Linked DNA regions of Pelodiscus sinensis. The protein of the gene in region 1 binds, or shares a complex with, the protein of each later gene. Links are inferred from orthologs where the notes say so. Each region holds a gene or a part of one and is shown in the gene's direction. Other genes may lie near its edges.

Region 1 (7,962 bases):
AATACTTGTTTATGAAAGAGAGGTAATATGTTATAAGTTAAACTAATTCTTGTATCTGAACAATTCATTCATTTTTTTGCCTGTCTGGAGTCCTTCTCCCTACCTAGGGATCACGTACTGAGGGCCCAACTCCCATGGACTTCAATGGAAGCAGATCTGCCTCAAACAATTAGGCATGGAGCAAATACATTTTAGTACAGACCTTTGCATTTATTCAGGGTAAAGAAAAAACAAAGCCCTGGCATTTCTCTTGTTCCTTATTTGAAGACAGAGAATCTCCAAGTTCCTCCATAATTGTATGGTTTTGTCACTTCTCAGCTCTACAAAATAAAACTTCATAAAACGCTAACTCCACTTTCAAAGCACCGGACATTTACTCATAACCCAACTCTGAAGGAAGCTAGTAAGCATTCCTATTTTACACATAGGGAAATTGAGACAAGGGATAACATGGTGGAGGCAGCAACTGGTTACTCATGCTCTTCGTAGTGCTGAGCCAATGAGATTTCATCCCTAGCTAACAAAATTATAATAGATTGTATAGCGATAGATGCTTTAAAAATATCCAACAGACGTAGCCATTTACTTGGTCAGTTTTGGGAGAGATGGACAACTTCGTCTATATAGGATTTTTGTAAAATCCTCCCACGGTTCTTCTGAAAACTGTGCAGTTTCATCCATGGTAACACTACTATAAAACAGCTAGTGGGCTACGCACTACAGCTGTGCAGACCTGCTCTGCTCTCCATTAAGTGACATAATAGTAAAAATGTTGATGCCTATTTGGTGCCAGCCTGGCAGGATGAAACAAATTCCTTGTTCTTAGTCCTGTACTCTGCCCACTACTAGGGATGTGAATGGGTAACCAGTTACCCAGTATCTGGGAGCAGCCTCCCCCCACCTGTAGGTACCTCTGTGTGGGAAAGGGGGCCAAGAGCAAGCAGCAGCAGTTGTGGGGGCAGGCTGGAGCGGTCCCCCACTGGGATCCTGTGCTTAATCAGTTAACCTTTTAAACCTAGTGTTTAAGCAGTTAACTGATTAACCAGGTTTTACATCCCTACCCACTAAACAATTGTGTCAACCCTACAAAATGTCTGTGCATGTCATATGGAGTTAAAGATGAAGAATCTTTGCATAAGAGAAAATGTCCAGTGTTTCCAAATGCAAGCAGCACATCAATTTATAGACAGATGGAGTATAAACCTGCCACCTCAGAGATTCCAGAACTCCTAGAACAGAGAGATGGCAAATAATTTTCATAACCAAAGACAAAGTCTGTCTGAAGCTAAAGAAGTTCCAATCATGTGTATGTAATGTGCTGCCTGTCCCCAATCATTTCCTTAAAGATTTAGCTCAGAAATGCAGCAAAGGAGGGTCAAAAAACCTCAAACAAATGAAGTTTACAGCCTGCTGTTGCAGAACTGTCCCCTAAGATAATTGTACAACAATGGAAGGGGAAAAAATAAACATGTTATTGTGATGAATTCACATAGACCCACTATCCGCTACTCCAGGCATCCCCATTGGCATGCCTGCGGTAAACAAATATAGATGCAGTTTCTACTAATGAGGCAGGGAACAGTGAGGCCAAGGAAAATGCAATCATCTCAAAGGAAAAAAACAATCGCACAGGACTCCTCCTCTCCCATCCATAGAGGAAATCAGATGCCAGCTGCACCATCCTAGGAAGGAAGCAGAGAGGCTTCTGCACCTGATGAGCCCTGCAGAAATGAGCTAGTGGTATCACGGGATCCAGACAGGCGCTCCGGGATTTTAGCAAGATGAGCTGACTGCCTAGCACAAGCCGTTTATACAACACAACTTTATTTCGGGTGGCATCATTCATGCAAATTGCATCTCCTTTATGAGTTCAATCTATCTAGTCCCTCTGATTATTGAGCCAAGAGCACACAGCCAGTACCTAACAGACTTACTTTTCCCAACTCAATGTCCTGGGCCATTACATTTAACATCCTCCACTTTCAGTCCACATGCATTCAGCACTTGAAGACACTTCTCTCTGTGTTGCCAGTGTTACTTGAGCTCCAGAATAAACTGAGTCGATAGGACTTCACAGACAGGGAAGTGGGAATATGTTTCATACTTCCTCTTCCCCTCCAACCCCAAAAGGCACTCTTTCCTTCCCCTATTTGAAGGGGGAGGGGGAAATAAACATATGATCAAAAGATTTTTCAGGGCTAATGCAAAAATTGTTTCCAAAGAAAATACCCTGCAGACACATTTAGAGGCACTTTTAACCACTCCTTCCTATACACCAAAACTCACCACCCAAAACTGAGGTGCAAGAGCCCAACTCAGTTCACCTTGCTGTATGTATACTTACACCTCAAAAAAACCCATCCTGCTCATTTTTTAACTCCACAGCAAAGCAAAAAATAAAAACAGAATGTAACAGCCTAACAGAATTCTCTGCCACCTTCTCCAGCCATCATCTTTTTAGGCACTTTCCGGGCATTCAAAGCAATGTCTCAGATACAAAATATAAATATTATTTTAACACCTTCCCCCCACCTCAAAACCTGAGCCTCATTTTAAAAGTAAAACCAAAATAAAAACCTCATCCATGCTCATCTCCCGTACATTCAAGGAGCCACCCTCTTATGTCCACTCCATCCCCCCCCACCCCGCCCTCCAGTGTTGAACACATCAGCTACAACATCCCCTTAGGATTCTCACCTATCTCTTCCTCATGATGCATGCTCTTGCTTCTGTATCAAGCAGATTTGTTTTGGTAGTAAGCTATCACTAGTGTCTTGGACATACAACCACAAAAGCACTGTGCCATCCCCCTACATCCACCCACACTCATCCGACCCTACCAACACAGTGTCTCTTCTCTTAACAAGGACCCTCCCTCTCCCAAGTTCTTTCATAGGCATATTATTTGTTTCAAAGGTACCCTCCCTGTCCTCCTCATAGGCCAGTATAAAATTCCTCCGCGAAAAACACCAACCTCCTCTTCTTTCACCTTAAGTCAGTCATGCCACACACATTGTGTGTCTCAAGAATAGAATCTAGGTATTAATAGTGCACTCATCACCATAATGTCCCAACAGTGGGCAAGGTGCCTTCCTTCTTTCCTAATTCACCCCACCCACCTAGTCCTGTGTTCAACTCCCTGCAAAACTACAACAGCCTGCAGAATAGCCCAACACACCCTGCAAGCAGCAACAGAATCTGTCCCTGTCCTCTTTCCCTTTACCTGTCCCCTATTTCAGGCAATGTGCATAGTCACACAAATTTCAGACACCACCCATCATAGACTCACAGGGCTGGAAGAGTCCTAAGGAGGTCATCAATTCCAGTCCCCTGCCCAAAGCAGGACCAACCCTAAAAAGTCCACCAGAAGCAAGTCTAACCTGGTGCAAGTCCCACTTCCCAAACACACCATTGCTCTCCCACAATCGTGTGCTTCTAGCGCACATGGAGCCACCAGCCTTTTCCATCCCAGCAGTACACTCCTCAGCAAAACCCAACCTAAAAGGATTCTGTCCCTTTCCCACCCATCTACCCCTCCTCGCCCCAAAAAATCAACCTCACTCGCAGCCTGTATTTCAAAGAAAGCAAGAAAACGGCCACCGAACCACAGTGTTGAACTCCCCCAGCAAAAAAAAAAAACAACAAAAAAACAAGCCTGCCTAGGAGACACCTCCCTGCCCCCACTTCAAGGATACAAGGAGCCACCCAGATCCCTTCTACTGAACTCTCCCAGCAAAATGTGCACAGGCTAAGGGGATCTCCCCCTCCACCAACGCCAAACCCAGCACAGGGCAAGGGGACCTGCCACCCCCAAATCCGCCTCACGCAGCCTGTGCTCCAGGGGCTCAAGGAAGCTCCCCCCCATCCCAGGGTTAAACTCCCCCAGCCAGGCCCAGCTCAAGCTCAGGGGACCCTTCCCATGCCCCTCCCAAAGCAGCTCGGTCCCCCACGCCCAGCAACACTCACCTCTGGACGCTGGTCCCTTCTCCACCTCACCATGGAAGAGCGCAAGTGGGGGATCCCCAGCCCCAGTGTGAGGGGGGCAATAACGGGGGTGCAGAGGGAGGGGAGCAATGGGGGTGAAAATCCTTCCGCGTCCAATCCCCCCTCTCCGGCCCCCCCCCAAGAGAAAATCCCCCCTCCCCCCTGCTCCTTTTTTTTTTTTTTTTTTTTTTTTTTGGCTCAATCACACCAGACTGACTGTCTTTGTCTGTCTGGCAAGCGCCATGTTGATATCAACATCCGAGCTCCCACCTGCCGCCGCTGCGCAGCCCTGGGACTTGTAGTTCCCCCCTCCCCTGGGTGAAGGGGAGAGCCGAGGCAGGAGGACTACAACTCCCAGCGTGCCCTTCCGGAACGGCGCGCCGACGGAGAGAGGGGCTGGGGAGAGGAAGGGACTACAACTCCCAGGATGCACCTGGGGAAGGGGTGGCAGGGCATGACTTCATCCTGGGCAGGGGCGGGCGGCGGCAAGAGGACTACGAGTCCCATGATGCTCTGCGCGGGGGAGGCTGGGCAGGAAAAGGGGCGGATGGTCACAGTAAATAGCGCCGGCCGGGTAAAGCATGAAGCTGGTGAGTCTGTGGAGCTAGTGTCTGTTTGGGGGGGCTGGGCTGAAGGGTCCCCCCTCGCTCCCGTCCCGGGCATGGGGGCGGGTCCTGCCTCTGGGCTTCAGGCCAGGCCTGGTTGCCATGGCTACGCAGTAGGCCCTAGAGAGTCTACTGAGCTTGAGGGGGGGCTCAGCCTTGGTGGAGCGTGGGGTCGCCCTCCCCCCACCGCTGGGGAAACTGAGGCACTTAGCGGGGGCAGGCCCCGGGGCGGCGCGTCGTGCTCTGTATGTGAGGCGAGGCTCCAAAGGCCCCAACTGTGACGGGGGCTTGGGGCCCACTGGGCCAGGCCCTGCCGCGCGGGGGTCAAGGAGCCGGCCACGCGCTCCGGGAGGTAGAGCCCCGTTTCAAACGTCAACCGTTCAGATGCGACGGTTAACCGGTTAACCGTCCTCCTGCGGGCGGGGCTCCTCTGGCCGGGCCGGCGCGCCCCCTGACCATGGTGGGCGGGGCTGGAGCAGCCCCTGGCCCGGGCGCGGCGAGGCTCCACGTGAGAAGCTGAGGGGCAGGAAGGGGTTGGTGGTAGAGAAGGGGACGCTTTTGAGGGGGGGTGTTGCCGAGAGGTAGGTAGGGTGTGTGTAGGTAGGGGGGGGTGGGGGTGTAGGTAGGGAGGGTGGGGGTGTGTGTGTGGGTAGGGGGGGTGTGTAGGGGGTGTGTGTAGGTAGGAGGGGGGTGGGTGTGTGGGTAGGGGGGGTGTGTAGGGGGTGTGTGTAGGTAGGAGGGGGGTGGGTGTGTGGGTAGGTGGGGGGTGGGTGTGTGTGTCGGGGGGCCCACACTGAAAATCATCAGATGCTGCTGCTCCTCGTCTGAAAGTTGGAGACCCTAAGCCACTCCCAGGATGGGTGAACCCAGATTCTGAGGGTTTTTTTTAACTTGGAGCGATACAGTCTTTACAGGTGGATGACTTTGGCTTACTTTGAAAAACAGAAGCTTAGGGGGGTCGCCAAGTTCGTCTGTACAGGATCAACTTAAAAACAACAAATGGTTTGGTAGCACTTTATAGACTAACAAAACATATAGAAAAACATATAGGCTACGTCTAGACTGGCAAGTTTTTCCGCAAAAGCAATTGCTTTTGTGGAAAAACTTGCCAGCTGTCTACACTGGCCACTTGAATTTGCGCAAGAAAACTGACGATCTAAGGTATGATCGTCAGAGTTCTTGCGCAAATACAATGCTGCTCCCATTCGGGGAAAAAACCCTCTTGCGCAAATGCTTTTGTGCAAGAGGGCCAGTGTAGACAACTGAGAATCGTTTTGTGCAAAAAAGCCCCGATGGCGAAAATGGCGATCGGGGCTTTCTTGCACGAAACCGCGTCTAGATTGGCATGGATGCTTTTCCGCAAAAAGTGCTTTGGCACAAAAGCGTCCGTGCCAATCTAGACGCTCTTTTCCGTAAATGCTTTTCACGGAAAAACTTTTCCGTTAAAAGCATTTGTGGAAAATCATGCCAGTCTAGATGTAGCCATAGACTAAGAAAACATGTAGATGGTATCATGAGCTTTCGTGGGCACAACCCACTTCTTCAGATGACCGTAGTTTCCCACAGGCAAAGTGTGTATTATAATACGACACAGACTTGTGGGGTGCAACTCCTGTGGGTTCTGACTCCATCTCTGGCTTGTTTTGTGACTAGGAGAAAATCACTTACCTTCACTGTGGCTTAATTTATCACTGTAAAATGAATTTATGGAGAGGTAGATGAAGGTACCAAACCTGCAGACTTTTACATAAAAACAGATATTAGACTAGACCAAAGCTCCATCTAGCACAGTAGCCTGTCTTCCGACAGTGGCCAATGCTAGACACCATAGAGGAAATGAACCGAACAGGGAATAACCAAGTTATCCATTCCCAGTTGCCCATGGGGCTTATGACAAACAGTTGCTAGGGACCTCATCCTGGCTAATAGCCTTCACAACACCCTTTGACAAAGTGTTTATATGATTCAGGTCTATAAAATCATGACTTATATGGAGAAAGCGAATAAGAAAGTGCTATTTACTCTTCATAACACAAGAGCTAGGCATGACCAAATGAAGTTAATAGGCAGCAGGTTTAAAGCAAATAAAAAGGAAATATTTCTTCACACAATGCGCAGTCAACCTGTGGAACTCTTTGCCGGAGGAGGACCATAACAGAGTTCAAAAAAGAGCTAGATTAATTCGTGGAGGACAGGTCCATCAGTGGTTATTAGTCAGGATGAGCAGGAATGGTGTCCCTAACCTCTGTTGGAAAATGGGAATGAACAACAGGGTATAGATACCTTGATTATTACTTGTTCTGTCCATTCCCTCTGGGGCACCTGGCATTGGCCACTGTCAGAAGACAGGATACTGGGATAGATGGACCTTTGGCCTGACCCTGTCTGTCCTTATGTAGCTCTTTTTTCTTGGGTTTTTGTCTTAGGTCACAAGGGATATTCAGGTTTTTTGGCAATTTCATCCTGGACCCTCATGTATTTGTTTTAAATATGGAAGAACAAGACAAAAATAAATCCACACCAGTCCTAAGCAATGGACACCTGCTCAAAAGCCCAGTGAAGACAATGGAATGATGACCTCTGATTTTGATGGGCTTTTATTCAGGCTCTTGCTGCTGCTGCTGACCATTATAAAGGCAAATCCAACAGCAAACTCCATTGTATATATACTGCCTATAACTAGCTTAGATCCATAACTTTAGAGCACTGGTGCACAATCTGCACTGGTTTATGGATAAAACTTGAAGTGTTGGATTTTAATCTATAAGTCTCTGAATGGCTTGAGGCCTTGTTCCCTGCACGATTGTCTCTCTCCCTTGCCAAACTGCCACATGTCAAGTCAGCAGAGTCACTCATACTCAACATAAATAAAATGGTGGAGCATTCTCTGTGAGGAGTCTGTTGATTTGGAGCTTGCTGCTTGCTTTGATCTGCCAAATCCCAGATGTGTTAATTTTCCACATACTTTTCAAAGCCTTTCTCTTTCTCTCTTCTCTAAGGTTGTTGAAGAGGTCATAGGTGGATATATTTGTGGACAAACTGTGGTTCATGTGTTATGATCTTTAATTAATGGGACAGATACCAAGAGCTTTGGATGGGTGTAATTGCATTTTTAGAGAACTGAAGAAAAAATAAATAGCAAACTGGACCTTCCAGTTGGACAAGCCCAAGAACACAATATTTGGGATATGTTGCTGGTCTGTTTTTAATGAGCTTTAAGCAATAATAATTTATGATCTTGTTGAAATAAATTGAAAAGGTTAATATACTACAACTTACATTATTTTAACATCATACAGGACACTGAGTTAAGTCATAAAAGAAAAAAAGGGGGGGAATTCCATGTAGTCAAGAGAAATCAAGGACATAACCC
Region 2 (7,146 bases), on another chromosome or scaffold:
AGTTTAAAGGGGTTCTAAACTAAAATCTTAGCATAGAAGGAAAATGGATCATTTCTCAGAGCTATACTAGAGGTATAAATATTTTAATCACTGGGAGTAAACATCCCTCCTGGAATCAAATGGGAAAAAAACCTTCCTTTCCTGATTCTTGAATTAAGAAATATTCTATGTGCATGCTGCAGATGAGAGTTTAGAATCTGTTAAAATGTATTTAGTCTCATTTCTGCACTCTAGCTAAATGGTTAATTAAGCAACTACTCATTATTGGGTTCGATAGCCCCTGAATATACAAGATGGAAGCACACGTCTTCAAAGGCAAGCATTCCTGTACACCACTCTTTGGAGGCAAGTTATTAATGTAATTTTAAGGAAAGTAGTGTGGCTAGCTAACCCAAACCCATGAGGTAATATGGTTTTCCAGTACTGTAGCCTTATTGGCCATTTAAATGCTTCCTATTATCTACATTACTTTAAGTGTTAATAAAATGTACAGAGGCACAGTGTGAGGTGTAAATGTAGTCTTGAAATAGTTTTACAGCAGTAGTATTAGTGCCCTTTCTGAAATATTAATACATTTTTGTGAAAGATACATTTTAAAAATCTGATAAAGTACAATTAATTATTGTATAACCACATTGTGTACCTCTTCCTATGTATAAGCCTATATATACACACACACCATATATACTAAGAATTTTTGCTAAAACAATTGTACACAGACCACATGCATGAAGATTTACCCTCTTTTTAAAGCTTATGATTTGATTTGGACTGGAAGGCATTCAGCTTCAGCAAACACTATGCTTTTATGTATTGCACAGATTATAATTACCACACCCAGTCAGCAGAACTTGGGTTTGTCTAGGCTTTCAGCATTCCCTTTCTTTCCTGAAGGTCTACTCTATGGGTAGTCTCTGTAACAGTAGCCTCAAGATCCATAAGGATCTGAATTATTCTGTGATTCAGTACTGTGTTCTAAAGATTATTCCTCACCCCAAAAAGCATGATGCCAAATAGCAAAACTGTAGGGAAGAGGAAGAGAGTAATAAAGGGACTTCATGTCTCAAAATCTCTAAAGAAGGGGTGGGAAGGAACATATCCTAATACCACACCTCAACACTACTACATTTTTGGGAGGATAAGCGGGAAGCCTAAGTGTTGACCAGTTGCCATTAAAGTGGACTGAAATCAGTTGCTCTTTGTGAGAAAGCATCAGCTTTACACTGAGTATCAAAACCAAAATACCAGCCCCTATAATATACATTATCTTTTTAACCCCAACAGAGAACAAGTAACTGAAGTCAATGAGTGTCGTCTGTACACAGGCTCTACAATAGCACAGTGAGGGGTTCCAATCCTAGTTTATCTGAATTTTAGCAGTCTCACGTGAGTAGGACAAGGAGGGATTCCTCATTGCTTTTGTTTAAAGGCATTGGAGCTACAAAGATTAAGTAACCACTCATGGCAGGGTGCTCTGGCTTTCGCAAAGAAAAAAGATCTGATAGTTTTGCAAAAAGGAGGTCAGTGCAGAGAAGAGAAATAAGTCTCTTCAATTTAAACAAGCTAATATGGGCTTTGGAATGTTTAGTCCAAATTGCTAATAAACGAAGAGCCAAGAAGTAAGTTAGCTTTCTTTTAGAAGGCCAAAGAGTACCAATCAAATTAGTTATGATCTCTACTAGAGACATATTGGAGATGGCAGGGAAGAGGGAGTATCCAGGCCCTAGTGCAAATACACTTATTTACATGAGTGAACCCCTCCCCCAAATACAGTGAACTCTTCCAGTAGTTACAATATTGAAATACTCTACTCAAATATCCCCTATGCTAGGGGAGATCAAGCAGTTTGTGTTGAGCATAGAGCTCCTCCGTGATATCATAGACCTTGCAGATAAAGGGCAAAGCATCCCCCAGCATAGCCACAGCCTCATCAGCTGTGCCTACATTCATGTTTTCAAGGAATGTATTTCGAGTGGGTAAGACATAAAAAGCCACTGTGGCAGCCTTGCGAATAATCCAGGGATGATAGTTAGCCAAGGAAGCATTGTATGCCTCTGAGCAGATCACAGAGGTTTTGGAGTCCTCCTCGCCAGTCCTCAGTCCTTCCAAGAACATCTGTAGCCAACGAAGGGCTCGGTGGAGGCGCAAGAAGGTTCTGCAGCCTGAGTCAGGATGCTCAGATCGCTTTTTGAGATCAACAAGGCCATTAGCCAGCTCATACTCCACCATGGATTGAACAGTCAAGTACTTTTCTCGCTGGTCACTATTACGATAATTCTCTAGGATCTGTATTTTGGTCACTGCGTCTTTTGAAATGAAGGAAAAAACTGTGCCCAGGGTGTTCAGAAACCTAAATTTTAAACCAACAAACAAAAAACCCAAACAGTCATGTGTTAGGTAACAGAATAAGGGAGCTTGAGAAATGATACTGAAACAATGCCCCTAGTTAAGTGGTTAAGAGTTAGATCAGACTTTGTTATACCAAGTTATTGGACATACCAGAATTGGTGAACACATTTAATTTAAATCTAAGATGAAATATGTGTAATAAGGTAGTGGTGATGATTTTTATTATAATGTACTAAATATATAGAACAGGCCTCCAAATGAGCTAGCAGAGTCAGATGTTAGTTAAGAAGTGTTTGGTTTATATTACCATGTAGAATATATTAATAGTCACTTTGTTCCTACTAGCAGCTTAGACAGCCAAGCCATTCTACCAATGTGCAGAATACAAATGAGGAATCTGCTTAGGGCAGCCAGGAATTTAGGGCACCACTGGGGCTATGTCCACCACCTCTTCCTATCTCTATTCTGTGGCTCTGATTCTTCTGGAAAGGATCTGGTTAAGTGAAAACGCCTGCCAGACCTATTCGCAAAAACTGTAAAAGAGCCATTGAAGTGGTAATGAAGCCATTTTAAAGGCCATTTGCCAGCCTCAGGCATATACAATCATTTTCTGAATTTGTTTCAGAGAAAAGTGTGTGTGTGCGTGTGCATGCACACACAAAAAAAACCCTGTTAGTCTCTAGGTCTACATCTAGACTGCAAGCCTCTTTTGAAAGAGGCTTTTTCAAAATATATTTTCGAAAAAGCCTCTTTCGAAAAAGCGAGTCTAGACTGCAAGCAGTACTTTCGAAAAAGCAAGCCGCTTTTTCGAAAGAGAGCACCCAGGCAGTCTGGATGCTCTCTTTCGAAAAAGCCGTGTTTGCATTCAAGAATGCCTTTTTTCAAAAGAGCACTTTTGAAAAAAGGCGTTCTTCCTCGTGAAATAAGTACCACCACTGAAAGAAAAGCTGCGTTCTTTCGATTTAATTTCGAAAGAACGCAGCTGTAGTCTAGACGCAGGTGACGTTTTTTCGAAAAAAGGCTACTTTTTTCGAAAAAACCCTGCAGTCTAGACACAGCCTAGGGTGCTACAGAACTATTTTTAAAAATTTACTTTGAGAGTCAGCAGGACATTAGTTTAAAATATGAGTGTGTTGCTGAAGATTATAAAATCACAGTTAAAAAATGGTCATCGCTCCCCACCGGGGAGACATAAGGGCACTAGCTTAGCAGTATTGCACAGGGCCCAGTAAACCCTGAACACAGCCCTGCTAGACAAGCCCCACGCTGGCCACTCTGCGTTCCTTCCCAGGACTTCCGGGAAGGGCGCGGCTCGCGCCTGTCACGTGATCCGCGGGCGAGCCAATGGGCTCCCTCTGACACCGACCAACCCGGTCTCCTCCCCTTTCCCCACCAAGCCGGCTTTAAAAACAGGGGCGTGGCCAGCGCCAGTCAGCGTCCCCGCCCCCCTCTCACCTGATCAGGCCCTTCCAGCCCGCGAGGTACGGGTCCACGCGCACCTCCCGCTGCTCGCCAAGGCAGGCCGTGAACGCCACCAGCACTTCCCGCAGGCAGAACGCGTCCGCCCCGTCCGCCATGGTGAACCCGGTACCTCGCCGCCGACCCCCTCAGCCGCCTGCTTCCGCTTTCCCCGACTCCTGCACCGCCCCCAATGGGCGCACGCCCCTTCCGCCACCCCAGCCAATCACCGCCTTCCTCTCCTGGTTCCGCCTTGCTTTGGCCAATCGCACATCGCGGGAGGGTGGGTAGGAAGGACACGGCCGCTGGTCATTGACTTGGCGCGCGCTGGGAAGGCGAGAGACCGTGCGCCTGCGTCACGGGGAAGGCGAGCGGGTCCCGCCCCTTTCCAAGTCCTGGGGGCGGGGCGTTGCGCGGGCTGTCAGCGCAGTGCGTCCGGGGGAGCGCGGGCCTAGGGTAATGTGAGGCTGGGAACGAGCGGGGGAGGGGCCCTGGGCTGCGCGAGGGGGGCGGTTTGTGATGGGGGGGCGCCGGGCTGCGCGAGGGGGGTGGTATGTGGGGGGGCCCTGGGCTGCGCGAGGGGGGCGGTTTGTGATGGGGGGGGCGCCGGGCTGCGCGAGGGGGGTGGTATGTGGGGGGGCCCTGGGCTGCGCGAGGGGGGCGGTTTGTGATGGGGGGGCCCTGGGCTGCGCGAGGGGGGCGGTTTGTGGAGGGGGGGCCCTGGGCTGCGCGAGGGGGGCGGTTTGTGATGGGGGGGCCCTGGGCTGCGCGAGGGGGGCGGTTTGTGATGGGGGGGCGCCGGGCTGCGCGAGGGGGGCGGTTTGTGGAGGGGGGGCCCTGGGCTGCGCGAGGGGGGCGGTTTGTGGAGGGGGGGCCCTGGGCTGCGCGAGGGGGGCGGTTTGTGGGGGGGGGGGCGCCGGGCTGCGGGGAGGGCCTGGTGCCGGGCAGGGTCTCTTTCCTTGCAGTCAGTGCCGGCATACGCCCCTTTCGCTGGGCAGGCCTTAGAGCTTGGTGGGGGCTGGGTCTCTGCTTTCGGGGAACTTCCTATGAAGTCTTTGTGTTGTGAGACTGAATAAAAACAACACTCTTCGATGTTTCCCACAAAATAACTAAAAAAAACCCAAACCCCACTCTGGTTTCAGGTCAGCCGGAACATTTTGTTTTGTAATTTTCTGTTCTTGGCCTCTCTGAACGGTTTACAGTGTTTTAAATAAACATTTATTCTTGTTCCGAAAGAATTTTTAGGAACCACAATCTCACAACGTTGTATTCTGAAAATGGAAAGGGTTGTTGTATGTTGTTGTGACAGGGCATTTCAGTTTTTATCCAAACATTCATTTTTAATGTCAAAAAATTACAAATAAATCCGTTCATCTGAAGAAGTGGGCTGTGCCCACGAAAGCTCATGATCCCATCTACGTGTTTTGTTAGTCTATAAAGTGCTGCCAGACCATTTGTTGTTTTTTAATTTTTTTCCTAACGTTTTGATTTCAACTGAATCAACATTATTTTAGTCTCTGTGGTCCCATCAATCCTGGAGTAGGTGACTGTAAAACACTGTAATAATGCTGCCAAGGAAACCAGCTTATGTTTTGGTGGAACCTTAGCCTTAATTATACTGGAGACAGGCATGCAGTTTTAGATGATTCTTATAATGTGCAAGCTAGCTGACCCTTTTCTTTTCTGTATTCTTGCCTCACTCTAGGAAGCCATGGGTCCTCAGCTGAACTCTTCTGTGTGATATTAGTAAATAGATCAGCAGTTTGAAGACAGGCTGAATTTTCCTTTTTTCAGTTATGGCATCTCTGAAGTAGCCTGCTATACACGGTTCAAAAAGTTATTCTGTACTTAAAATGCCTGAAATAAAAGTCACCCCCTTGGGTAAGTTCAAACCACAAAATGGAGCTGAAATCGATAGAATAGTAGAAAATGTTTGGATGCTGTGATAGAGCCTTAAAGGAATTAAAATTAGTTAGAAATATTTCCAATACAGATAGTAAGAGATTCAAGCTTCGTTCTATGTTTTAGCATAGAAGAGCTCATTACAGTCTCATACTTGCACTTACATGTTACTATGTTACGTTGGTGTAATTAGTATGCTGCATTCAGATTTGTTTTTTCTTTAGGTGATCTTAATCTTGCTTTGCAAACATGAAGACACAAACATGTTGCTAACCTTGCTTTTGGATGGTGAAAGGAATAATTAATTTTTATAAGCTGCTTTGTAGATTAAGAGCTAGACGAGTGCAAAATATTATTTCCTGTTTTGAATTTGGCAGACACTATTTTCTGCCAACCCCAAAAATGTTTCTTTCTACTGAAGTTGGAATGTGCTATGAACCTCTTGTTTTCTAGCTTCTGCATACATATTAGCACAGTGTGTGCAAAGTATTAATTCTTTAACAATGCCGTAGATTCAGTGGGGGACTTTGTCCTATGGAGCACACAAATTCAATCATGGTTGCTGTTATTTTATAGGGCTGTGGCTCTGTGTGTAGTCTGTATACAGAGGATGATTCTGAAAGATGGTAGCAGTTTTAGTGAGAAACTGTTTGACATCTCCTTACATATATCAGTAGAAATGCTTTTTGTTATGTGTCTTCTGGTCTGAAACTGACAAGCCAGGAGCTAAACGGATAGATGCGCTTTCACAAAATGGTGAGACACTATGGCATAGAGGAGTGACTATAGGAGATGGAAATCCAGGTTTCTAATCCATCTCTGTCAATTATTTACTGTGTGCCACTGGGCAAGTCATTTCCCTGTCTGAGCCTGGGTTTTCCCACCTTTGTAAATGAGGATAATGATACCAAGGATCTGAATGGGTAACCGGTTAATCTTACTGGGTGATGCTTACTGGGTACTGGTTAACTAGTATCCAGGAGCAGCCCCTGGCCTGCAGCCTGCCATGGGTGAAGGGCTGCCTCAGTGGGGCCAGAAGCCGCCTGCTGCCAGTGGTGGTAGCAGCAGCAGCCTTGGGCTTGGGGGCCTCATGCCACTGGTGGTGGCTTTAGCAGTCCTGAGGCTGGGACCTCGTTTAGCTGGTTAACTGATTAATCAGGATTTTACATTCCTAAATGATACTCGCCTTTTTAACAGGGGTATTGAGCTTCATCCTAGCTAGTGTTTTCCCAGAGCGTCAAATCTATAGATTCTTATAAAGGTTTAAGAGGTTATATGGACATGTGATGCAGCTGTCTTTGTTTCTTGTGCTCCAGGGGCTGGCCAGGATGTGGGCCGGAGTTGCATCCTTGTGTCTATTGCAGGGAAAAATGTCATGCTAGACTGCGGAATGCACATGGGCTACAATGATGATGTAAGTATGGCAGAAAGACTCTT
Region 3 (7,165 bases), about 140 Mb from region 1:
ATCTTACCCATTACAAAGATAGCTTCCCCAAGTATCACCTCTAATATCATTAGCTCACAGACATTTACCTCCCCCCGATCCTCCTTCTGTTCTGAAATTTGATTTGTCCTTTTCATATGTGTTCATTTTTTTAATTGTACCCTTTGGTATAATTTGTGACAATTTTCTTCCACTATTTGATCTGAGGAAGTGAGTATGGCCCACGAAAGCTCATCATCTAATAAACCATCTTGTTAGTCTTTAAAGTACTACACAGTCCTGTTTTTTGTTTCAGCTACACCAGACTAACATGGCTACATTTCTATCACCTTGTTCACAGTGTTGAATAAATATAAAAAATTAACTATCCTCTACAGTTTGGTAATTCCTTTAGGCCAGGATTTAGGCATAGGGCTAGGGATGTAAGCGACTAATCGACGAGTCATTAGTTTATCCGACAGTCAACACACTAGTCAACTAGTCGCTTCCCCCCCTTGCTATCACAAAGAGGCAGTAAGGGGGTGGAAGAGGAGGGATGCTGGAGGGAACTGGCTTACAAGCTGGTTCACTCCATCTCCGTGGGAGGGGGCAGGGGCACAGTGGTGGCCAACTTTGAAATGTACAAGAGTCCCCGCTGGAACACAGAAGTTCTTATAGACTAATCAAATAGACAATGGAAATCCCATCGACTATTCAATTAGCTAATCAATTGAAATTTAACATCCCTACACAGGACAGGAGGGACAGTGTGGAAAATCTTGCACAGCTAATGCCAGTGATTTACCTCCAGATCAGGATTTCAATATCCAGGCCTGTCAATCAAGCCAGCAACTGTCACCCATGAAGAAAGTGATACACATGGGCTGCATCTAGACTGGCATGATTTTGCGGAAATACTTTTAATGGAAAAACTTTTCCGTTAAAAGTATTTCCGCAAAAGAGCGTCTAGATTGGCACGGATGCTTTTGCGCAAAAGCGTCTGTGCCCAGTATAGACGCGCTTTTGCGCAAGAAAGGTCAGATGGCCATTTTAGCCATCGGGCTTTCTTGCGCAAAAAATTAAGGTGCCTGTCTACACTGGCCCTCTTGTGCAAGTATTCTTGCGCAAGAGGGCTTATCCCTGAGCGGGAGCATCAAAGCATTTGCGCAAGAAGCACTGAATTCTTACATTAGAACGTCAGTGCTCTTGCGCAAATTCAAGCGGCCAGTGTTTTAGAAGCACATGGGTTTTAGAAGCACATCTTCCTTCTCATCCGTTTCCATTTACTACTCCTCACTCTATTCCTGATCCTAGTTACTTATGAACAAAGACCAACCTAAATTTGCAAACATCATAGGCCATGTCTCCACTTGCCATGCTGGAGATCGATCTTCTGGCATTAGTGTGTCTAGTAAGAACCCAATAAATCGAACACCAAGGGTGCCCGCCCAGTGGACACCAGGTCTTCTCGTAATTGCAAGGAGTAAGGGAAGCTGATGGGAGCTCTCATCAACCTCTCCCTGTGCAGATAGCACCAAGCTTGACTTTTTTCATTGAGTACCTTAAGCTGACCTTCTGGGTCTAGTACAGACCTAGTTTTAGTGCCACAACAAGACATACTTTGTCTCAAATAAGGCTGAAATCAAAAGTTGTGAAAGTGTGTACATTTATTTAAATGCTTTAATTGAACTCACTTTATTAAAATGCATAGCAATCCCATAATACTGCCAATGGTCCATCATGCTGCATAGTTCTATTTTATCAAATTAAATCATAGGCTGTGTCTACATTGGCACCCTTTTCCAGAAAAGGGATGCTAATGAGACACTTCGGAATTGCAAATGCAAATTTAAATATCCCCCATGGCATTTGCATGAACATGGCTGCCGCCAGGGGCAGATGAGAGTTCCGCGGGGCCCCGGGCAGCAAAATTTCGCGCCCCCCCCCTTTGACACAGCGCATGCGCCGTGGTGCCAAGGCGCATGCGTGGGGCCTCGGGAAACGCGGGGCCCAGGGCAGCCGCCCCGCTCGCCCTGCCCTAAATCCGCCTCTGGCTGCCACTTTTTTCCAGCTCGGGGCTTTGCTGGAGAAAAGCGCCAGTCTAGACGGGATCTTTCAGAAAATAAAGCCTTTTCCGGAAGATCCCTTATTCCTCTTAAAATCAGGAATAAGGGATCTTCCAGAAAAGGCTTTATTTTCCGCAAGATCCTGTCTAGACTGGCGCTTTTCTCCGGCAAAGCCCCGAGCTGGAAAAAAGCGGCAGCCATGTTCATGCAAATGCCGCAGGGGATATTTAAATCCCCCGCAGCATCTGCAATTCCAAAGTGTCTCATTAGCATCCCTTTTCCAGAAAAGGCTGCCAATGTAGACACAGCCATAGTGTTACCCAATTTACCTTAAAGAAATAATGGATTTTTGAATATAGCATCCATATCTGAAAAATGGCAAGGGACATTTTGACCTAAGAGCTTATTCTTAATAGTTGCTCTGGTAGATGTGTCATTAACTGTCTAGTCCAGAGCTACTCAACTTTGGAAGCCCCAAATATATGTAAATAGCTTTTCACACTGAGGGGCATGAATACAAAGATTAAGGCAAGATTACACAACACACAGGCCCCATTTAAGTTAGTTCTGCTGATATTAATAAAATGAAATACTTACCCAATTTCCACCCATATGACAGCACTTTTAATGAGCAATGTCAGTCCAGGAATTTAACTGCTAAAACACGTATCAACCGAAGACCATTATACATGGAGTACTTTTTTGTTTTGGCTCCCACCCGTGGGCCACAAACAGGCTACATGTTAAGTAGCCCTGGTCTAGTCTATTTTGTCACTGATATAAAGGGCTCTTTATGAAACTGAATATTCAAAATAAATGGCTACAATATCTTTCAGGGCGTAGCCGTATTAAAGTCTGTACATATTTATGTGCAGACAGCTTGGGCTCTAGCATAGCATTTTGATTTTAAAAAAGAACACTTACCTGTAGAAAAGGTGCAACCGAAAGGAGGAACTGGCATTCCCGTCTCTCCATAAGAAAAGTGGTCATCTAGCTGACTGCACTCATAGCAATCCAAGAGATGTTGCAGGGGATATTGCAAAGACAAACCTAAAAATATGTGTATTTTGTCATTTATCAGGCATTTTGAGTTGCTGCAATAAGACCTACTAACTTCTTCCAGTAAGAGGTCTTATCCAGGTTTTTGGACGTCGATGGGATTTTCCATTTCGTCATGGGGCCAAAGTACTAGTCATAGTTTGAACACTAAACAGAAGAATCTACATGTACCGGGCATTTGCTGTTCCATTAGCTACAACGATCTAGGGAGAAACGTCCCATGAGACGTGCCAGTCTACCCGATCCCCACACCATCGCGGACAGCTGCGAGCACCTCCCCCGGCTGGAGAGCCTCATCCGTGGGGTGATCTCTCAAAGAGAGGGGCGCCCCAGCGATGGGGCTGCCAAGCAAGGACGGAGAAGGCACCAGGGCCGCACTACAGCTACAGCCATGCGTCGGGGAAAGAACTGGCACCTGCCTGCCCTTCCCCTCTCCGGGGCCCCGGCACCCAGCCCCTCGCGCCGGGCCGAAGCCGAGCAGGCGATCCCAGGAGTTGCGGGCTCAGCACACCGCAGGCAGGGCTCCCGCGGTCGGCAGGGTCGGGCCAGGCGATCGCGGTCCCCGTTGGGGCGGCCCGATACTCACGCTGCGGCCCGTCCCGGGCTCGGTGGAGGAGCGAGCGGCAGAGCATGGCCAGTGACTCCCACAGCGACCGGGACACAAAACGGACAGAGGAGCGTCTACTCCCGCCACTCGCGCTACCCGCCAAACTCCACTCCCGCTTGCCATTGGACAGGACAACGTAGGCGGGGCAGGAGGCCACACCCACTACTTCCCACTGGGCAGGGGCTCCGGGGCGGGGCCCGAGGCCGCAGCCATTTCCCTCTCCCCTAGTCCCCACGCTAGGTGCTACAGACGCTGAGGTTAAGGTGGTAGGTTGAAGCGGATCACTGTACACGGGCAGCAGACCTGGGGGCGGGGAGTACGAGTCTAAATTGCAGCTCGTGAGGGCGCATGCGTCCCGGGACGTAGTGGCGGGAGCGGGAATAGGTCAGTGGTGCGGACAATCGCGCATGCGCAATTGCACTTGAGGCTGAGGCACGTAGGTAGCTGCGCAGTGGGTTTACAGGTCGTGCTGCGATCTAGTGCGGGAGCGGGTACCGCCATGGCCTCCGGCGCTAAGTCCTTCCTGGCAGATGCGGGCTACGGCGAGCAAGAGCTGGATGCTAACTCCGCCCTTATGGAGCTGGACAAAGGTAGGAGAGCGCAGGGCCTAGCCGTGGCTGGAGGCGCATGCGCGCGCTGGCAGCGGAATCTCCGTCTCAGTCGGTCTGGCGCGGTGCGCGCTAACGGCGGGGAGCCGGCCTGGAGACACCGCCCCGCCCAGGCCCAGACAGGCCCCAGCCCGCCCCTCGCCCTCTCCTGCCATCGGTGCCGCCCTAGCGTGCGGCGCGCCGGTTCTTGCCTCTGCCCTGTGTGCCCCCGCCCTCTGGGCAGCCGCAGGACTTCCGGCCCGCGTGGCTTTTCCTGCCTCCCCCCTGCCCTGCCCGCCCAGCGCCTGCTTGCTGCCCTCTGCGCTCACAGAGTCCCAGCGCTGAAAGAGACCTCGGGTCATCTAGTCCAGCCCCCTGCCCAAAGCAGGACCAATCCCAACTAAATCATCCCAGCCAGGGCATTGTCAAGCTGAGACTTAAAAACCTCTAGGGATGGAGATTCCACCCCCTCCCTAGGGAACCCATCCCAGGGCTTCACTGCCCTCCTAGTGAAATAGTTTTTCCTAATACCCAACCTAGACCTCACCCACTGTAACTTGAGACCATTGTGCCTTTTTCTCATCCACTGCAATCCCCGGGTCTTTTTCTGCCAAATTGCTGCTTAGGCAGTCTGTCCCCAGCCTCCCAGGGGCAAGGCACCTGTCAGACCACATCCTGAATTTGGTTTAGTGACAGCCAAGTCCATGGAGATGTGTCTTGTGATGCCTCTTGGCTACTGTGAAAGTTCATTGCATAGATTTATAGACATTGCAGAGACTGGGAAATCTCTTTCCTGCACAGAGCTTTACTCTGATTGTGCCAGAAAAGAGAAGTTGTTAACCATAGTCTTCATTCTAAAGCTTTGGTTGGTCGATCAGCACAGATTCCACTGTAGTGATTTAGTTAAGATGATCTAAATTGAGGGGGTGACCTAAGAGGCAGTAGCTACTCACATACTCTGCCTATAGTGGTGCTGAGGTTGCTACAAATATGATGCACAGAGGTTCATCCCCCTGAGTGACATAGATGTATCAAAGTAATTCTGTAGTGGAGACCTGCCCTTAAATATTTTTGGATCTAGATCTGGAATAATCGATTACTTTTCATAAAGGTCCAAATGTCCTGATCAAAACATAGCCACTGTCCAGATTCCAGAGAAATTGATACAAACAATAACAAGTAAATGAGATTTTGTGGTCCATTCAAAAGTGTCTGCTGGTGTGGATTTGATACACAATGAGGCTACATCTACACTGGCATGATTTTCTAGAAATGCTTTTAACGGAAAAGTTTTCCGTTAAAAGCATTTTCGGAAAAGTGCATCTAGATTGGCAGGATGCTTTTCCGCAAAAGCACTTTTTGCGGAAAAGCATCCATGGCCAATCTAGACGCGCTTTTCTGCAAAAAAACCCCGATCGCCATTTTCGAGATCGGGGCTTTTTTGCGGAAAAGAAATCTCTGCTGTCTACACTGGCCCTTTTGCGCAAAAGTCTTTCAGAAAAAGACTTTTGCCCAAATGGGAGCAGCATAGTATTTCCGCAGAAGCACTGACAATCTTACATGAGATTGTCAGTGTTCTTGCGGAAAAGCGTCCGTGCCAATCTAGATGTGCTTTTGCGCAAAAAAGCCCCGCTTGCCATTTTTGTGATCGAGGCTCTTTTGCGCAAAACAAATCTGAGCTGTCTACACTGGCCCCTTTGCGCAAAAGGACTTTTGCCTGATCGGGGCTTTTTTGCGCAATAGCGTGTCTAGATTGGCATAGACGCTTTTCCACAAAAAGTACTTTTCCGCAAAAAGTTTTCCGTTAAAAGCATTTGTGGAAAATCATGCCAGTCTAGATGTAGCCAATCTACCTATTGACTATGGGTGTAAAGGCAAGCATGCCAGTAAGGCAGTGCTTACCGGGTAACTAGTTAACAGGTTCCTGGCATGGCTGGGCCAGTTAATTGTTCAACATTTTAAATGGGATTTTACATCCCTACTATTGTTTATCTTTGGTATACAGTCAGATCACTAGAACAGTGTAGGGAGTGGAGGATAAGTCTGATGTTGGTTGCCATAAACACAGCGCTGAGGAAACGCTAGTCAGTATTCTGTACCGATTGGGGTTTCCTAAGGTTTCATATCCATCTGTGTTGCATTGCTGTAGTCCAACTAAGAGGTGATAACTTAGGCCAGGTTACCCTAAACTGTGTCACATCCTGGCAAAGGTATGTCTACACTTGTACCCTTTTTTTGAGAGAGGGATGCAAATGAAGACATTGGAAATTGCAAATGAAGCTGGGATTTAAACATCCATGCTTCATTTGCATATTTGTGTTATGGTGCTATTTCAAAATAGCGCTATTTCGAAATAACAGATGCTGTTAAGATAGTTATTTTGAGAGAAAACCCATCTTAACAGCATCTGTTATTTCGAAATAGCGCTATTTCAAAAGAGCGCCATAACGCGAATGTGCAAATGAGATATTTAAATCCCAGCTTCATTGGCAATTTCAAACGTCTTCATTTGCATTCCTCTCTCGAAAGAGGGTGCAAGTGTAGACATACCCTGAGGCTACGTCTACGCTTCAGGCTTTTTGCGCAAAAAGTTGCAGAGTGTCTGTCTACACTGCACTCATGTTCTTGTGCAAGTAAATTTACAGTATGGTGTCGGAAAACCGGGCTTCTTCCAAAAGAGCTATTCCTCTCTCCACAAGGAATAAGGCCTCTTGTGCAAGAGCTCTTCCACAAGAAGGCAGTGTAGACAGGCAACATGAATTTCTTGTGCAAGAAATCCCTATGGCTAAAATGGCCATCAGAGCTTTCTTATGCAAGAGAGTGTCCACACTGCCATGGAGACACTTGCACAAAAGCATCTCTTTCGCAAAAGCACGTGGCAGTGTGGA
Region 4 (7,363 bases), on another chromosome or scaffold:
AAATCATGCCAATCTAGACGCAGCTGTTATGTCTAGACTACATGCCTGTCGGCAGAGGCATGTAAAATAAGCTACCCGACACAGTCAATGAAGCGGGGAGTTAAATATCCCCAGCTTTATAAAAATGAAAATGGCCGCCGCACTGTGCCGGATTAGCTGATTGTCAGCACAGCGCAGCAGTCAAGATGCGGATCGGTCGACAGGGGAAACCTTTGTCAACCATTCCCTTATGCCTCATGAAACGAGGTTTACAGGAGCAGTTGACAAAGGCTTCCCGTCAACTGATCCATATCTTGACTGCCACGCTGTGCCGACGATATTAAAATCCCTACTTCACTGACTATGTCGGGTAGCCTATTCTATATGCCTCTGCTGACAGAGGCATGTAGTCTAGACATACCCACCCAGAGAGAGAAAATCTTTGGGACAGAGATTGCCACTTACTCTATTCTATAGATTGGACCTCTATAATCTAGATTTCCCTCATCCAACAACATTTGTGGTCAGGCATCCCTGTTGGTGTTCTCAGATTGTAACACTTATGGGGAAAAGCTGGGGGTCATGAGCTCAGCAGCTCTTCTCCCTCTCATTTGCAGCATTTAAGCTTAGGGAGGGAAGGACAAGGAGAAGAGGCAGGAGAGAGGAGGTACACGGGGGAAGAGGCAGGGTAGCTCTGGAGCTCTACAGCCAGGTCCAGGAATACAGCCCAATGGGAGGGAGAACCCCCACAGACACCAGTCTGACCTCCAGACTGCTAGCCACAGAATTTGATGTGCTCCCGGAGGGCTGCACTCCTGGCCCCTAGCCACAGAGCTCTGCAGCCACCTTGCCTCTTCGCACTTGTGCCCTGCCCCCCGTCATTCCTTGGTCAATGCCAGCCCCTCTGCTGCTGCCAGAGTGGGCCCACAGCCACTGGCAGCAGAGGGGCCAACTTAGCCTCACTTAGGGTCTGTAGCTAGTGCCTCTGCTGCAATACAATTAACAGCATCAGCTCTACTGCACATCTTAAAGAGCAGATAGGTAAATAAATGTGTTTGTTTACAATATGGAACTAAGGGTAGCTTAGCTGGTTAGAACTAAAAGAATGTTAAAAATCCAATTCATTTAAACTAATTGTGCTGTTTACTTCTTAAAATTTCTCCAACATGGGCTCAATATCAATTATGTCTGTTTCAGTATGCTACACATTTGGATTACACTACAGAGAACTTATTTGTTTAAAAACAAATGCTTCCAGAAAAATACAAACAAAAAATGAAAACATTTCTATTGTGCTTAGTTTCTGTAAAACAGTGTCACCAACTAGAAGATCAGATCTTGGAGCCTCTGACAGGTGATCTTGACTGGTTTGACCAAGAGGCTATCAAGTGCAGCACTTCAGCTGCCCCTCCCACCACTGCTGTGCATCTCCTGCCCTTTGCCTTGGAGCTGTTCCCCTCACCCACCCTGTATTCCAGTGGTCCCCAATGCGGTGCCCACGGAACAATCTGAGCCGGCCCTGCCTCCGGGCGCACGGCACATGCCAGGGCTGGCTCCTGGCGCATGGGTAGCCTCTGCCACAGACACATGGCACATGTGTGGTGCCGGCCCCAGGCGCCTGGTGCATGGGCAGCTCCTACCCCGGGTGAGTGGCACATGCTGGTGCTGGCCCCTGGTGCGCGGCACATACACAGCCCTGCCCCTTGTGCATGGAACGTGAGCGGCCCCGCCCCCGGACACGCAGCAGCCCCAAAATGTTGGGGACCACTGCTGTATTCTATCTTCACAGAACAGGGGTGGGGGCACAACAAGGTTTGGGATGGAGGAAGTTTGCTGGCTGCTTTGGAGAGTGGTGCAGGGACGGTGCAGGGGTGAGCCTGCCTTAGCCCCACTGCACCATTATCCAGGAGCCACCTGTGGTAAGCAGTGTCCAGCTGGAACCTGCATTCTGAATCCCTGTTCCAGTATTTTACCCTGTACTGTACCCCAAGTCCCTGCCCTAGCCCTGAGCATCCCCAGACCCAAATTCCCTTACAGACCCTTACCCTGAACCCCTTCCTGTACCCCAACCCCTGCCCCAGGATCAGAGCCCTTCTCACTCCAAATCCCTTAGCCCAAGACCAGCTGCCCCTGCCTGATGAAAAGGCGAAAGGATGGGGGAGGAAGGAAGGGTGAGGTGAGCAGGGGCAGGGCCACGAAGGAGGCGGGGCAAAGGTATTTAGGATTGCACTTAAATTCAAAAAGTGATCTCATACTTTAAAACAGTGGTCCCCAACCATTTGAGGTTGCCAGGCGCCAGGGGGCATGGTCGTTCACCCCAAGCGCCACGCGCCCCCCCCAAGCGCCGTGCGCCCAGGGCTGGCGCCCCCCCCAGCACTGCGCGCCCAGAGCACGGGCGGCCAATCCACAGCGCTCCCAGGGCCGGCGCTCACCATGCGCTCAGGGCCGGCTCCGGCACCATGCATGCGCCACGTGCCCAGGGCCAGGCCAGCCCCGAGCATTTGGCAGACGCACACAAATGCCCCCGCAGGCATCATGGCGCCCGCGGGCACCGTGTTGGGGACCACTGCTTTAAAAGGTTGGAGACTACTGCTGTAAAAGGTTTTGTTTGTTGTATTATAGAAAAATACAACTCTGGACATTTGACAATGTTTCTTTTCATGTAGCATGTGTTACTGCACGTTACTGATAAATGTAATGGTTATTCCAATAAATATGTAGCACAGCAAAAATAATAGCTGTGGTATTAAGGCATCAGATGCAGGATATCTAGTTTATATTCCATTTATGTCAGCTTGCTATCAAAAAGTTTCCATGTAAAATTTTCAGTGAACCCTCATTCAGAAAAAACTCACAGGAACGACCAACTAAATGGAAAATATTTTTTACATGAAGCGAGACTAAAAGTATTGGGGCTGTTTATTTTAGAAAGGAAACCAGATAGAGGTATACAGATTAAAGGTATAAAAAAGGTGCATTGAGAATCCATCCTAATCCTATTGATAAAAAGAAAACAAGCGAACAATGAAATAAACAGACTAAGTTGGCTACCCCTCTGAAGCTTTTGAAATAATCTGAAAACCAGCAATTTTAAAAGTACCCAAGGTATAACTAGTCAGATTCTTTGCTACTAGATACTATTGATACCAAGATCTTAGCAGGGATTTAAAAAAAATAACTGAATTTTTATAAGGATGAAAACATCCAGTTACATTAGAAAGTTCATAAGAAATAGATGCATCATGGCACAACCAGTATCTCATGGTGGTTTGGAGAACACCCATAGGCAGGATATTTATTCTGTTTTGGATTTATTGCCTTTTGCTCCAATGCATAGGGCCCTGGCCACTCTAAGAGACAGCAAACTGAACTAGAAAGCCACTGGTCTGATCCATTACGGCAGATGCCTATGTTCCCAAAGATCTTCCTTTTTTCCAAATGTAATTGCAAACAATTGTCATCTAAATGACACCCTTTTATTTGGTTCATAAACCAATTGTGATTTCCCTCTTTGTTCACTGCTAATAAGTCTGCACTGAATGCTATTTACGAACATGTCTGGATCACTTAACTATTATGGCAAGGAGCGTGTCCCTATCTTCTATATATCCTCCCCTTGTTTAATAGAAGGTAACTGACTACCCAGTAGTGGAGAGTCTCCATTATCTCCCATAATGGTGATCTGTGTTGCAGTGCTTAAGATCAGGGATTAAAACTCTGCTGAAATACCTTGATGGGGGCTGTTACATTCACAGCATGGACAAAGGTCTCTGCTTTGCAGAGTGGGGGGCTGTGGTATTAGCTGTGTAATACAGAGGGTGCCCGTCATTCTCCCACAAAGTGGAGGATAGCTCCCCACACCTACACTAGCAAAACCCATGGGAAAGTAAATGAGAAATTGAGGGGGGAATGCCTCAGGGGCCTGAGGTGAGTGACTCCCCCCCCCCCAATAACAGAGAGCTCAGGAACTGTCCCTCACAAAGGTCTTTACCCCACATCCAACGCACCTGCCCTGCTGCCCCTGTGCCCAAGGGGTACACCCCACATCCTCAGCACCTGCCCCACGCTTCAGCCCCTCTGACCTAAGCTTGCACCTCATAACCTCAGCACCTGCCCCACGCTGCGGTCTCTGTGCCCCGGAGATCACCTCGCGGCCTCCGCAGCTGCCAGTTCCTGGGGTGCCCCGAGTTCACCCCGCTTCCCCAGCAGCTGCCTCATCGCGGGGGCCCTGTGCCCAGCCACCGCGCATCCCCAGCGCCCGCCCGTCCCCGAGTCTCGGGGAGGCTTCGCCCCGCTCCAGGCCCCGGCATCCCCGGGCCCGGCTCCGCGGCCCTACAGGCCCCCCACGCCGCTTACCCCCGCCTCAGCTCCGCCGCTTCCTCCCCGGCTCCGCCTCTTCCTCCGCACGCTGCCGCCGCGGCGCCTCCGGGGCTTCCTGCGGCTCGGCCGGGCTCTGCGCCGCAGCGTCACCCGCCGGGCGCCCGGGCCAACGGCGAGGGGTAAGGAGCGCGCGGGCGGGCTGGGCCTAGGGCTGCGCGGACAGGGCCGGGGCTGCAGCCGCGTCCCCCCCGCCCGTGAGCCCCCCGGGCTCCCCACCCTGCCCGGCCTCAGCGGGGCCACGCGAGGCCGGCGCCGGCCGCGGGGGCTGGGCGCGCTGCTTGCCCGGGCCCCGCTGGGGAGCGCAGTGTCGCGCTGTTGCAACGCGGGGGTCTGATCACTGGGCGAGCATCTCCCTCTCCTCTGCTTGCTGTGCTGTCAGTCTCCTAGGAAACCACTGATCTTACTAGTTACAGTGGGGGAGGCCGAGGGTGGATATTTGGAAAAACTATTTCCCTAGGAGGGTGGTGAAGCACTGGAATGGGTTCCCTAGGGAGGTGGTGGAATCTCCATCCCCAGAGGCTTTTAAGTCCTAGCTGGACAGATCCCTGGCTGGGTTGATTTAGTTGAGGTTGGTCCTGCTTTGGACCTGGGGCTGGACTTGATGCCCTCCTGAGGTCTCTCCCAGCCCTAGGATTCCATGATTCTAATATCTCCTTGTGATGTGACACTTTCCCTGACCCCCGGTAACCACTCCTTGTGAATGGTCACTTTATTTTGCTTCAGTCTTCAGTGCGGTTCCCTTCCTCCCTCTTCCAGCCAATAATTCCTCTATTCTGCCAGGCAGATGTGTACACTTGTATTTTGCAGACAGTGTGGAGTTTAAGTCCTTATTGTAACTCATAATGGAAGGTTCTCATTAGTTGTGCTGTGGGTCTGTTGTTTTTGATGTGTGGTAGCATATCACCATGTGATAAGTGTTTTCTACAGAGAGAAAGCAGCACAGTTGCTCCCTTCAGGAGCTCACATCTAATCCAAAATGCAGGACAATGTAGCACTTTAAAGACTAACAAGATGGTTTATTAGATGATGAGCTTTCGTGGGCCAGACCCACTTCCTCAGATCAAATAGTGGAAGAAAGTAGTCACAACCATATATACCAAAGGATACAATTTAAAAAAATGAACAAATATGAAAAGGACAAATCACATTGCAGAACAGGAAGGGGATGCAGGGGGGGGGGGGGGAGGAAGGAAGGTAAGTGTCTGTGAATTGATGATATTAGAGGTAGGGAGAGTGGGATGTTTGTGAGTGATCACAAAGAGAAAACAGTTTCTTGCCATTTTAACCAAAAAGGACACTCTCTCAATGACTTAACCACCTGCATTCTGCTACAAAGACCTTTTACATCTGCACTTGAAAGGGAATCCTCTGAACTGTCATTCATGTTAAAATTCGACACTTTCCAACAAGGACTTAACAAACATTTGAACTATCTCACCCATTACCAAGATAGTTTCCCCAATTATCACCTCTAATACCATTAACTCACAAACATCCCACTCTCCCTACCTCTAATATCATCAATTCACAGACACTTACCTTCCTTCCTCCCCCCCCCCCCCCGCATCCCCCTCCTGTTCTGCAATGTGATTTGTCCTTTTCATATTTGTTCATTTTTTTTAATTGTATCCTTTGGTATATATGGTTGTGACTACTTTCTTCCACTATTTGATCTGAGGAAGTGGGTCTGGCCCACGAAAGCTCATCATCTAATAAACCATCTTGTTAGTCTTTAAAGTGCTACATTTTCCTGCATTTTGCTTCAACTACCCCAGACTAACACGGCTACATTTCTATCACACATCTAATCCAGACACAGTGGATTGAAGGGTTAGACCAACAAACATTTGGCTAGGAAATGAATACCTCTAACTTGAGTAAAATTTACTCCTCATATATAACAATCTGTGGTTTAAGATTATGATCACTTTTTGACATTTATATTTTGATTTTGTCTACAGTATTTAAATAATCCTCAAAACAAGGAATGAATAGACTTGAGATCACTGCTCCCTTCTTAAAGGAAATCTAATACAAACATGTGCTTTGCACTAGGGATGTGAACTAGTAGCCAACTAGTCGATAAACCTGGTCTTAATGGTTAATCTAGTTGACTATTAGTATTTCCACCACCTCCCTTTGCTGCCTCTGTCTCAGAGGTAGTAGCATAAGGCAATAGGCAGCTGGTCTATCGGGGGTAGCTGTTTTTTAAACTGGCTCCCCTGTTGTGCTTAAAAGAAGCACCCAGAATCTTTTTCAGGGGGATACGGCAACACGCCACATTTCTTGAACATACATAGATCAATCAATATTTATCATATGCATATGATACATTAAACTCATGCACTCTCACACAAGCACATTCCATTTTGTTGTTACCAAAAGTTGCTCCCCCTAACTGCACTGGCCAGGTGAGTTAGATGGAGGAGGGGTGGAGCTGGCCTTCTGTAGATCGATGCTCCCATGTTGACAAGATGAAAACCCAGGGTCCTCTCCAAGATGCCTCCTATTTATCCCTCTCATGCAGCCAATTAGTCATCATCTTGCCTTTCTTAATGCTGCTTCAAAGAGAGTTCTTCCAAGGGCGGGCAATGCTGCTTGACTCCCAAGGTAGCTGTCTGTCCAGTCTTCTTAATGAGCTCACTTTACAGGTATTGTCTTGGATCTGGCTCCCAGACCTTCTCCACCCTTGCAACTGCTGCTGGAGGTGCTCACCTTTAATTCTCCCTTCACACCTCATTCATTTCAACAGGACAATCAAGGAAAGGGGAGAGCTCAAAAGACATTTTTTTTTCTTACAAGGAAAGTTTCTCTTAATACAAAGTTATAGGAGAAGTGTTACAAAGATTCTGTACGAACACTTACAGATATATCTAAAAGGACAAGATCTTAATACAAAGTTATATGAGAATGATAATATTACAGGGATTTCTCCACACCCCTTGCAGACCAGCTCCCATCTGGCACTCCACGCTGCCTTCTGTGATAGAGAGGTAGCAGCCTG

The links.
Region 2: the proteins of INTS9 (region 1) and INTS11 are in contact, whole or in part, in a cryo-EM structure (PDB 8RC4), measured with the Homo sapiens proteins. The link is inferred for Pelodiscus sinensis from reciprocal best matches to the Homo sapiens genes INTS9 and INTS11. Residues at the interface, in NP_060720.2 of Homo sapiens: Glu127, Gly198, Tyr199, Ser200, Gln201, Lys202, Tyr231, Glu338, Phe339, Ile342, Phe343, Glu345, Gln352, Lys354, Val355, Tyr356, Leu357, Pro358, Glu359, Pro360, Pro361, Arg511, Arg512, Tyr513, Glu514, Lys515, Ile516, Glu517, Ile518, Met519; in NP_060341.2 of Homo sapiens: His94, Gln97, Ala98, His137, Leu138, His139, Gln140, Thr141, Lys274, His277, Tyr278, Lys280, Leu281, Phe282, Ile283, Pro284, Trp285, Arg291, Phe294, Ser449, Pro450, Ser451, Ile452, Pro453, Val454, Gly455, Ile456, Ser457, Leu458, Leu461.
Region 3: INTS9 (region 1) and INTS7 share a complex: the UniProt entries of both Homo sapiens proteins name them as parts of the integrator complex. The link is inferred for Pelodiscus sinensis from reciprocal best matches to the Homo sapiens genes INTS9 and INTS7.
Region 4: INTS9 (region 1) and INTS12 share a complex: the UniProt entries of both Homo sapiens proteins name them as parts of the integrator complex. The link is inferred for Pelodiscus sinensis from reciprocal best matches to the Homo sapiens genes INTS9 and INTS12.

Annotation. Positions count from the first base shown.
Region 1 is NC_134713.1:4,736,362-4,744,323, forward strand, and holds the start of INTS9 (integrator complex subunit 9), read left to right. Parts: upstream 1-4,947; 5' UTR 4,948-5,046; coding exon 5,047-5,097; intron 5,098-5,099; exon of another isoform or gene 5,100-5,122; intron 5,123-5,145; exon of another isoform or gene 5,146-5,170; intron 5,171-7,962. UniProt on the Homo sapiens protein: Component of the integrator complex, a multiprotein complex that terminates RNA polymerase II (Pol II) transcription in the promoter-proximal region of genes.
Region 2 is NC_134733.1:16,677,631-16,684,776, reverse strand, and holds the start of INTS11 (integrator complex subunit 11), read left to right. Parts: upstream 1-4,126; 5' UTR 4,127-4,263; intron 4,264-5,512; 5' UTR 5,513-5,660; coding exon 5,661-5,688; intron 5,689-7,025; coding exon 7,026-7,123; intron 7,124-7,146. Other genes in the region: CPTP (ceramide-1-phosphate transfer protein), read right to left, coding at 1,828-2,350, 3,805-3,926.
Region 3 is NC_134713.1:146,927,040-146,934,204, reverse strand, and holds the start of INTS7 (integrator complex subunit 7), read left to right. Parts: upstream 1-4,146; 5' UTR 4,147-4,189; coding exon 4,190-4,280; intron 4,281-7,165. Other genes in the region: DTL (denticleless protein homolog), read right to left, coding at 2,949-3,074, 3,670-3,715. UniProt on the Homo sapiens protein: Component of the integrator complex, a multiprotein complex that terminates RNA polymerase II (Pol II) transcription in the promoter-proximal region of genes.
Region 4 is NC_134715.1:26,900,082-26,907,444, reverse strand, and holds the start of INTS12 (integrator complex subunit 12), read left to right. Parts: upstream 1-4,345; 5' UTR 4,346-4,478; intron 4,479-7,363. UniProt on the Homo sapiens protein: Component of the integrator complex, a multiprotein complex that terminates RNA polymerase II (Pol II) transcription in the promoter-proximal region of genes.